Nothobranchius furzeri: one gene and its partners. The protein of the gene in region 1 binds, or shares a complex with, the protein of each later gene. Links are inferred from orthologs where the notes say so. Each region holds a gene or a part of one and is shown in the gene's direction. Other genes may lie near its edges.

What was found. Proteins that work in one complex are often made in the same cells at the same time.
Region 2: txnl4a (region 1) and smx5 share a complex: the UniProt entries of both Homo sapiens proteins name them as parts of the precatalytic spliceosome. The link is inferred for Nothobranchius furzeri from reciprocal best matches to the Homo sapiens genes TXNL4A and LSM2.
Region 3: txnl4a (region 1) and usp39 share a complex: the UniProt entries of both Homo sapiens proteins name them as parts of the U4/U6-U5 tri-snRNP complex. The link is inferred for Nothobranchius furzeri from reciprocal best matches to the Homo sapiens genes TXNL4A and USP39.

The regions. Positions count from the first base shown.
Region 1 is NC_091751.1:22,095,320-22,098,112, forward strand, and holds txnl4a (thioredoxin-like protein 4A), read left to right. Parts: upstream 1-878; 5' UTR 879-1,023; intron 1,024-1,205; 5' UTR 1,206-1,233; coding exon 1,234-1,386; intron 1,387-1,512; coding exon 1,513-1,616; intron 1,617-1,702; coding exon 1,703-1,874; 3' UTR 1,875-2,163; downstream 2,164-2,793. UniProt on the Homo sapiens protein: Plays a role in pre-mRNA splicing as component of the U5 snRNP and U4/U6-U5 tri-snRNP complexes that are involved in spliceosome assembly, and as component of the precatalytic spliceosome (spliceosome B complex).
Region 2 is NC_091756.1:60,995,485-60,999,244, forward strand, and holds the start of smx5 (smx5), read left to right. Parts: upstream 1-1,287; 5' UTR 1,288-1,364; coding exon 1,365-1,367; intron 1,368-1,556; coding exon 1,557-1,624; intron 1,625-1,952; coding exon 1,953-1,983; intron 1,984-2,069; coding exon 2,070-2,129; intron 2,130-3,760. UniProt on the Homo sapiens protein: Plays a role in pre-mRNA splicing as component of the U4/U6-U5 tri-snRNP complex that is involved in spliceosome assembly, and as component of the precatalytic spliceosome (spliceosome B complex).
Region 3 is NC_091757.1:46,437,083-46,440,766, reverse strand, and holds the start of usp39 (ubiquitin carboxyl-terminal hydrolase 39), read left to right. Parts: upstream 1-738; 5' UTR 739-867; coding exon 868-928; intron 929-1,201; coding exon 1,202-1,280; intron 1,281-1,373; coding exon 1,374-1,468; intron 1,469-1,627; coding exon 1,628-1,764; intron 1,765-3,684. Other genes in the region: c17h2orf68 (UPF0561 protein C2orf68 homolog), read right to left, coding at 322-431.

The DNA.
Region 1 (2,793 bases):
GCAGACGTTTCCTTTAATGAGACAGCAAAGTGACGTGATTGTTGTGAACAAGTATAAACGGTCTCTGTGCAACACCGGTGTAACGTGCTGGAAAATATTTAAAAACTCCATCTTAAAGTGCTTGAAAAGGGTTTACATTTTATTATTTACAAAGTGTGTTAGGAAGCCTGCAAAAAATCAAGTACGACACGTAGTATTTGACATTGCATGATGAGTTAGGGTTGGGTTTTTACAAATTTTTCTTTGGAATCTCTTTTTGTGGAAGAATTTGAGTTTGAACGCAGAGTAAAACTCCAAACTAATCATTTTTCAAGCTGTATCCATTTTACAGCAAGTGTGCCAAATATACACATTGTTCTAAATTTGTGAACTTGTTAAGAATCAGAAATACTTCACAGCATCAAATATTAACAGTTTTTTTTGTAAAGTACACAAACAACACGTGCACGTTTTAATTGAAGTGTGGCAAACAAGCTTTACAAATAAAGAGTGCTCCGAGATTTCCTAAAAAATGTATTCATGTTGCAAATTTCTAATTATGTTATCTAGACTGTAAACATAATTTCTGTTTGTTATTGAGCTGTTTGAAAATCTGTTTGTTCTCCATGCATGAATACGAAATACATTTAATACTAGAAGTATTTCTCTAGTTGATCATCCAAAAAGATGATCATCCAAAAAGATATTGCTGGAAAACATAACGTAAATATATTTATTTTAAAAGTACTTGCTGGAGTGAAAAGTAATTATTTCAAATAATTAATTATTTAAAATTTTTATTTTTTGTGTGCGGCTTTCACATTAAAAAATAATAAATAAATAAATTGGGACTTTTTAAAAGAGTTTTTCGAATTGAGCGACTATGACGTAAATTTAACGCGTCTCCTGCGTCGCTGATTTGATGACGTCGTGAAGCGTTTGTTTTCCGTGGGGTTTAAAAGAAGTCACATTGAACATAGCTGCTTTATCTATAGTTAGTCCGTTTTCTTCCCGCCACTTAAATACTCTATTTTATATTTTGGGGTAAGTGTTTCAGAATATTTAGTGGGAAGTTTCATAATTGTGTCTTTCAGATTGTATCCATGGTTAACGCTAACTAGCTAGCTAGCTGTTGCCGGTCAAACCGTTCTCTGGTACTCAGAGATGTTTGTTTAATTTAATGTTCAGCTGTGATCGATTTGAACTCTTTATTTGATCCATTTCAGGTTAGAATTTGCTCATTTTTGAGTCAAGATGTCGTACATGTTACCGCATCTCCACAATGGATGGCAGGTCGACCAAGCCATCCTGTCTGAGGAGGACCGAGTCCTCGTCATCCGCTTCGGACACGACTGGGACCCAACATGTATGAAGATGGACGAGGTTCTTTACAGCATCGCTGAAAAGGTTTGATTTGTTTCCTGTCTTTATTATATAAAGTCCGGTTGGCTCAGATTCAGGAGTCGCGTCACATTACCTGCTGGCGTGCTCCAAATGCCATGTTTAATTCATTCTTGGTTTGTTTATTTACAGGTGAAGAACTTTGCTGTCATTTACCTCGTGGACATCACAGAAGTGCCTGATTTCAATAAGATGTACGAGTTGTACGACCCCTGCACTGTCATGTTCTTTTTCAGGTAGCTCTTCCAGTTCCACATGTTGCAATAGACAGGGCAGCTGAGTAAACATATTTTAAGGTGATATTTTTGTCTTTCTCTTCCAGGAACAAACACATCATGATTGATTTGGGCACCGGTAACAATAACAAGATCAACTGGATAATCGAGGACAAACAGGAGATGATAGATATTGTTGAAACTGTGTATCGAGGAGCAAGGAAAGGAAGAGGTTTGGTGGTGTCTCCCAAGGATTACTCTACAAAATACAGATACTGATTTTTTTTCATCCTCCTTTGTTCAGTTTATTATTTTTTCATTTGACAAAATGAAGAGACAAAAAACACAAAAGGTTCAGGAATATTCTTCAGCGTGTTTACCTTTGGTAGTAAAACAGGACATTGTTGATAATGGTGGGTTTAATGTCACTTTTTGTTTTTGCAAACGTAGCTTCATAAATATTAAGTTTTGTGTTTTTTAAGGCTTATTTCTGTGAAATATGTCAGTGTGGAACACATCGGTAATATTGTACAACTTGTAACTGTTTTAATAAAAAACTTTTACTTAAGATTTAAATGTAGTGTTTTAATTTATTTTATATATATATATATATATATATATATATATATATATATTCTGAACCTGCTTGTCCATGTAGGGTCGCGGGGGGCTGGTGCCTATCTCCAGCTGTCACTGGGCAACCAGGCGGGGTTCACCCTGGACAGAGCCAGTCTATCTAGTACTTCTAAGGCCTATAAAATAAACATGTTTATCATGAGTACAAGCTGTTCCACCACATCATTAAGTATAAGACTGATAGATTTATGAGTGTAAAACTTAAAATCCTGCTTTTCTGTTGTTAATACTCTTAATTCTAGAAGGCTTTTAATGACTGGCTAAAAAATATGGCTATAAGTTTATAAATATAATGAATATATGATCTTATTTAATTATGGTTATGCAAAATAAGATAGTAGACAGGCTTTTTAAAATGTTAAGTATTTTAAATAAAACGAATCTGTGCATAATGTTGGAAATCATACCATTTTAATGACATACCTGGAATCTTCCACTAGAGGGAGTTAGAGCTCTTGACTGCACCTTTGCCTCATTGGATCATTGTAAAACTTCATTATAACATTAATTAATAGTGATACTAAATGTAGAAGGACGTATGAGCCAAACACCAGTGAGAGAT
Region 2 (3,760 bases), on another chromosome or scaffold:
TGAGATTCTGCACACAGTCTGGGCCAAAACCAGTTCATCAGAGACCACCGACAGATGGGACTGGAGAGCAGAGACACTGATGGGACTATACCTGCTTGAACCTGAGGGACCAAGGCAATCAGCATGGATGACTGGTTTGAGACTGGAAGCCTTCCCACACCAGGGTGACCAGTATAAGGAGTAGGGATGGATTCCAGATGTGGTACTTTTTAAGGCACCGACTGAATTATGTGGTACCCACCAGGGATCAATTCTCCTACGACTGGCTTTTTCATATAAGAGGAAACCGTCTTCCCTTGCTGCAGAGTTTTTATGTTTACAGCCGGACCTTGAGTTTTTTGAAGAAAATGTGAATTCAATTCAACTCAAAGCTTTGTTTATAAAGTGCCTTCCGCGACCTTGTCAGGGAGCCCAAGGTGCTGTACACAGTACATAAGAAACATAAATCACAATGAATAAATAGAAAATAAAAGCAATTAAAATAGTGCAAAGGGGGTAAAACATTGAAGTAGAAACAAATAGATAAAACAAGGGAACTCATCTCTATACCAACCATTCTGTCCTGTTTTGCACCATACCAGTTTCCGTTTTTTATTCATTTATTTATTTTAATAAAAGAAGCAGACAAACGCCAAATGTGAGCTTGTCATAAATCTTGTTGCATTTTATCCCACTGTTAGACTGACTTCTTTTCTCTGCTGGGTTTATCTTATCACCTAATTATTAGACTATCTTATGTCCTTGCTTTAATGGGTTAAGGCTGTTTACAAGTTTGAGCACATCTGTCATCATCTGTTTAAATGTGTGTCATCTAATCACAATTTAAATCAACGCTGATTAGGATTTAGACCTATTTTTCACCAGTTTTCATTATTCTAGAAGAAAAACATACCTGCTGCACACAGCTGGGCAAAATAGGGCCATTTACATATATTTCATACGTAGGTAAGGCACACATAGGTTTATCCTATTTACCAGGGCTGCCGACTTCTTTAAAAGTCTCAGAGTGAGATTTTCTTTATTTTAACATATCTCTCTCTCTCTCTCTCTCTCTCTCTCTGTGTGTGTGTGTGTGTGTGTGTGTGTGTGTGTAGGGACGTGGACTATTAGGGTTTGTTACGCAAAGTGATATTAAGGCAGATTTAATTTTTCAGAGGCAAATTAGATGCTGTAATCACACTTAAGTGTGTAAAAAAACACAATGTTGATTAATTATGAGCAAAACATGTCAAAGAAATGGATACGATTCAAGCTGAATATGTTGAAGACCTCTGGCTCCCCCTGGTGGTAGTTGTCTGTATTTGCAGCGCTCCCTGATACGTCATCAAAAGCGGACGCGACTACTGAACAAAGCTACCGCAAAAATGGTGAGCTAACCTCGTTCAATATTCAAAATGTATTTAGCATGACACCAAACACATGACAGTTAAATAAGTCGTTACCTTAGTCTTTGTGTAACTGTTAGTGTTTCCATTCTCTCTTTGTTCATAAACTGTCGTGCTCGACGTGTAGCGTGCAGCTACACGCTAACGTTAGCATGTCGTTGTGCTCCGCAGCTTTTCTACTCGTTTTTCAAGTCTCTGGTTGGGAAGGACGTAGTGGTGGAGCTCAAGAACGATCTGAGGTTAGTGTTTTACGGCTTGGCCTCCACTGCTGTGATAAATCGTTGAAGCTGTTGTTCATTTGCAGGAAAGAACGCTAGCAATTCGACCCACTGTAGCACCACGTTGGAAACAAGTGGTCTCTAAACGCGAAGCTTTGAATGAACTTCTGCTAAAGCTTGAGCTATTTCTTTGTATATTCCAATGGACTTGTAGCTTATTAGTACTGCGACGTTTCTACACGAGTCTGACTCGGAAATTAAGGCAACCGAGCTAAACGAGCCATGTAGCCTATTCAAAAGTGTCCAAATGTTTGTTTTCTTGAATATTTATCCACACATCTGTTTTCAGCATCTGCGGAACGCTTCATTCTGTTGACCAGGTATTGAAAATACACTTTTTGAAACTCTTTCAGACAAACTTCTGCAGTTTTTTGACATTTACATTCCTACTCTTTTTGGTTTTTAGTACCTGAACATAAAGTTGACAGACATCAGTGTGACGGATCCAGAGAAATATCCACACATGGTAAGTAGCATACTTGAGACACATCGGTCCTAAGGTCACGTTGCTTCAGATGTCTGTAGAAATCTGAGGCTAATCTCACTACGAGTGTTTTCCACATTCACAGCAGGGTTAACAAACACAAACTCAGCCCTCTAATTGGTAAAAAGGTGTGATTATTCACTTAAACCAAAGATGCGACAGATTTTTGTTTTGTTTTCAGGTCGAGTACTAAAGCCTTACCTCTAGTCCTCAGAAAATAAAAATACAACTTAATAGGGCTGGATGAAAACTTATTTGTCAGTGTCCTTTTGCAGAATTCCAATTTTACAATATTATACCTCCATATTTTTTCTTCTGTAAATATTTGCAAGTTAACTCCCTTCAAGCTGTCTACAGAAAGTGTAATCATAAATTCATCAGCAGATTAAATGCACAATTTAATCAGATTCTTGTCAAACATCAACCTAAGTGCCATTCTCTATCAGTTTGAGCTGTAGAAACACTTGTACAGCTGTATGCTAACACACATGTAGGTTTAGATATTTATGCCGCTGGTTTGACCCGTCTCTCAGCACCAGCAGGATAAATAAATCTCCGTCAGCAGCCACGGTGAAAAGTAGCGATGTAAGACAATATCGATATGGCAATATATCGTGATGTTTTTTCCTGCAATATTATATTGATATCCAAAAGCCATGTGTTGAACTTTTTGGAATAGTTTACATGCAAACATTTGTGTATTTTCTTTTCTTTTGGTGCAATTCAAACACTGACCGCTAGCTAGCAGCAGTGTGCATTGGGTTTTGTTTCCACCACTGAAATATAAATCCCTCTATTATGGTTCAGATACCTCATGTTTAACATGTTAAGTATCAGTTTGGACTGTTTATTGAAATTTTCTACAATAAATTCAGTCTAAAAAATCGCTGATATCGTCTGGCTGAATGTATCGCAATATATCGTGATATATCGTATCGTCTTCCCTGTATCGTGATACGTATCGTATCGCCACAATTTCACCAATACACATCCGTAGTGAAAAGGCTCACTAAAACACGAACAAATGTCCCCAAATAATTAAAAACCACTAATCCAAATGCAAAGTTTAGGGCAGAAAATTGACCTAGAGGTTTCCTGATCGAGCAGACACGTGAGAATACATGTAATGATCGCATAGAGACAGAACAAGCTAGTGGATAGCAATAGCTGCACCTGCTAATGCTAGAAATTCACTGTTTTTATATTTATATTGATGTAAAGATATTGAGTCATCAGGTTTCTTGTTTGAAATTATATCCACATTTAAAAAATCTCAGCCCTACAACTGAAAGTAAATGGGTTTTTAACTAGAAATTTATTTCAACCATACTTACTCACAACTTGGCTTGCTCATGGGTATCTCCTTAAAAATGTATCAAATCTTGACAAACTAGTTTTATTTTTACCTGAAGTCATAAAAACTCAAGGAAAAGTGATTTTTAAATAGTCTAGATTAACTCACAAACCTGTGGATTTGTAGCCCACAAACGGTTGTGTTTTATTAACACTCTCTGCAGCAAAGATGCTTTTAGTTAATACGTTTACTCGGACGTTCCGAGGACTCACCTTTACCACAAGGGTTAGACTGAATGAGCTTTCCACCGAACGTGAAA
Region 3 (3,684 bases), on another chromosome or scaffold:
ACTTCCAGTCATTTGATCATAAACTTAAAAGTGTAATGCTGTATGTATTTTGCAATTCAAAACAAAGTAAATAGTTATTTAAAACAATAAGTTTCATGCATATTCTGCTAAAACCTGCAATAATTTGGCTAGGCCTGCAAACTTATAAATTGTTTTTAGCGGCTAAACGCGTTTATGTCATCAGCTACGACCTTTTCAGCATCCCCAAATCAACGTAACGTTTGATTAAAAGAATATCGCCTTTGAGGTTTTAGGCTGATATTAACCTAGTGTCTCATTTTCAACTAGCATTAACAGAGAGAAATTGAGGAAATTACCTACCTAGCAATCTGGTTCCTGCGGATATGGTGCAAGAAGCCATGGCTCATATCCAAACGCCCACCTGGTTTGTATTTTAGCTCATGCCCTCCATCATCTCTTAAAATATCCATGTCATTAAATGGTTGTAAAGCAATAAATTACCAATTGGTTAAATCATTATAAGAGGTCCTAATCAGACCTCAGACAAAAGCTAAATAGCACCTAGCTAGCTGTAAATAGTTGTCCAATAAATCACTTCCGGAGTTAACGCTGCAGGAACGATCACATTTAACATCTTAAATTAAAAAGTACAATAACAATTCAAGTATTTGTGTACAAATAAAACAAACACATGTTGTAAATTAACAGTTTCCTGCGCTAAAAAAAAACAAAGTTAAATTTCTGGTAGAATATTTTTCTTAACACCGGAATAGGTTTTGTTTTTTTTGTTCAGCGTACAACCACCGCGAGTTTCGACGTGGTCAGTCACCATTCATCTAAAAAATCTTCTAAATAAGTTAGTTTATTCCTATGTTGTTTTGATACCAGGCTCGCAGGATAACAGATATGATTTCCCTAAAACGAGAGAGGGAAATTGAGCTGGACGACGATGATAACGAAGACGGAGGTAAGTATGTTTATCTCTAACGTCAGTGTAACGTTAGCCGGATGCTAAGAAGCTAACTAAAAGAATTTGATTTTATGCACAACTTTGTACAGTCACTTCCTGAATGGTCATTAGACATCCTCAGTAACTAATGCATAGAATAACACTTTGCTTAATTAAAAAACATTCTGTAACAGCACAGCTATCGTGTTAGCATGTTTAGCCTATTAGCTTGTACATTGTTATGTAGCATTTTAGTTTGTCTTGTTAGTTACAATTATCATATTTTTGCAGTTGTAATCAAAAGGGGCCGAGGACATGCAGTAGAAGACAGAAGAAGTCGCCACTGCCCTTACCTTGACACCATAAACAGGCAAGAAAGAGAAACATATCAGCAACTGATATTAGCATTGCTTGCTAATTAGCACATTTGACAACCATTAACCTGTCTATGCTAATTTCCCAGGAGTGTGCTTGATTTTGATTTTGAAAAGCTCTGCTCCATCTCGCTCTCCCACATTAATGTTTATGCTTGCCTCATCTGTGGGAAATATTTTCAAGGTAGGTAAAGCTATCCAACCTTCAATCCTACATGATTAAACATGCTCGTGCACTTTGATAGCCTGGCAAGCCACACTAAATAAAACTTTGCAAAGCAAGAATTTGGTCTAGTTCACTAGGCTAGTACTTTGACACACTGGTGTTGTTTTTTTCTTGCAGGCAGAGGTCAGAAGTCTCATGCATACACTCACAGTGTCCAGTTTAGCCATCATGTGTTCCTCAACCTGCACACACTCAAGTTTTACTGTCTGCCAGATAACTATGAGATCATTGACTCGTCATTAGAAGACATCACGGTGAGTCATAGTATTGTTTTGTTGATCTTATTATGCCACAAGTGTCTATGGTTACAAAGCCTAAACATTTCCTGTTTAACAGAGACTGCAAACTGGAGAAAAGTTTTAAAAGTTTTAAGCATGTAGATGTAGATTCTCAGTCATCCAGGACATTTCAGTGCTAAGACTCTTGGGATGTTCCAAAAAGGGTACTTCACGATTCGATTCAATTTCGATTATTGGAGCTTCGATGCTTCGATTCTTCGATTATAATGATTTTTGGTTCGATTCGATTACTGGAGCCACGATTCTTCGATTATTGACATTTTTAATGTTTTTTCATACAAGATTGTCTTCTATTTTATCTACATTTGTAAATAAATAACCTATCAATTAATTCAGTTCCTCTACAACTGCTCTCTGTAAGTAAATACATTTTTTTAACATTTAACTATTTTTCAAAGACAAATTCTTATTTTATGACTGTATGACGTGTAAATATTTGCACTTTGACAAACTTAACTTTGGTCAGGGAAAGCTTTACTTACACTAGTGTCTCCTCCATTGTTGGGAAACACTGAAAACAGGCAAGCCCTGGATTTAATGAGGTAATTAATTCAAGTAAACAAGATTTTTACTTCCACTGAATTTATTTAATGGAAACTTAATGAGTCTGGCATATGATAACATTACAAAAAAAGCTGCCATACAGATCAAAAGTGCATTCCTCAAAATAAAATAATTCAGCTTATTCAGTCTGGAATATAGGTAACAGAAAAAAACCTGCTATATTTGAAGGTAATATGTTGCATTTTTTCTGAACAAAAGTGCATAATTCAACTGAACCTGTATTCAGCTTGGAGCTTCAGTACTGTGAGGCGAACACAACAAAATAGAGCAGAGTGACACTCATACTCATCTTAATCTTAGCTGTCTTCCCATACTCCCTCCCCTCCTTCTTGTCCCCTACATCCTCCAGTTGTGTGAGATGGGTAAATGTCAACATTGTGCTACTTTGACCCTCACTCATCTCTCGAGTTTGAAGAACGTGGCTCACCAACTTCCACCCGTTCTTGTCCGGCGCGAGAACAAAATGCGCCGTTACAGTAACGAAGGATTTGGTGGCAACCGATGTCCATGCATCGCATGTGAGCGCTATCCCGGTTGCCTTCTTCATGGACTCCAGCTTTGGTTTCCTCGTAGAGGTGGGGGACTTCCTTTTCTGCGAAGTGTTTTCGGTGAGGAAGTTTCTAGCGCGGCTCCATGGTGCGCACCACTAACTGAAACCCCCTGTTGTTTACTACTGAATATGGGCGTAGATCCGTCGCGATAAAAGTAGCTATTGCTTTTGTAATGCTCCTCGCCTTCTCTGAGCTCTTCGGTAGTTTGGAGACAGTCTCCAGGATGGAGAAAGAGGTCAAAGAGGTAGTGCCACTCACTAAACAGTCCGGGCGGCGCGTGCGTTAAGGCTCCGGTTACGTGTTTTTATTTTTTTTTAGTACCGGCGTTGCAATAAAACTTTGATGTTATGTTTTTTTAAGCATTGACGTTCATTAATCGATGTCGAAACAACATGTTTAGCTGTTAGATGCATCGCCACATCGATTAATTGCACCCCCCCTATAAGATTCTAATGGAAAGTAACTACCTGGAGATGTCTGAAGATGTTTCAAATTTTCATCTGACTCAGATGAGTGTTGGAGATCATTTTAACTAATGTGCTCAAAATTCAGTTGGAGACTAACCTTTTAACTCAAATCAAATTCAAATTTTATTTGTCACATAAATTCATACACAGTACGAAATGCTGTGAAATGCCTTACACAACTGCTCGTGACCTAAGAGTTGAAAATAAAATAACTGTACACCACGGATTAGAATGAAGGGTAAATTTAACTGGGAAAGAGTAAGGTAAAATATATCTGAATTAAAGTTGAATAA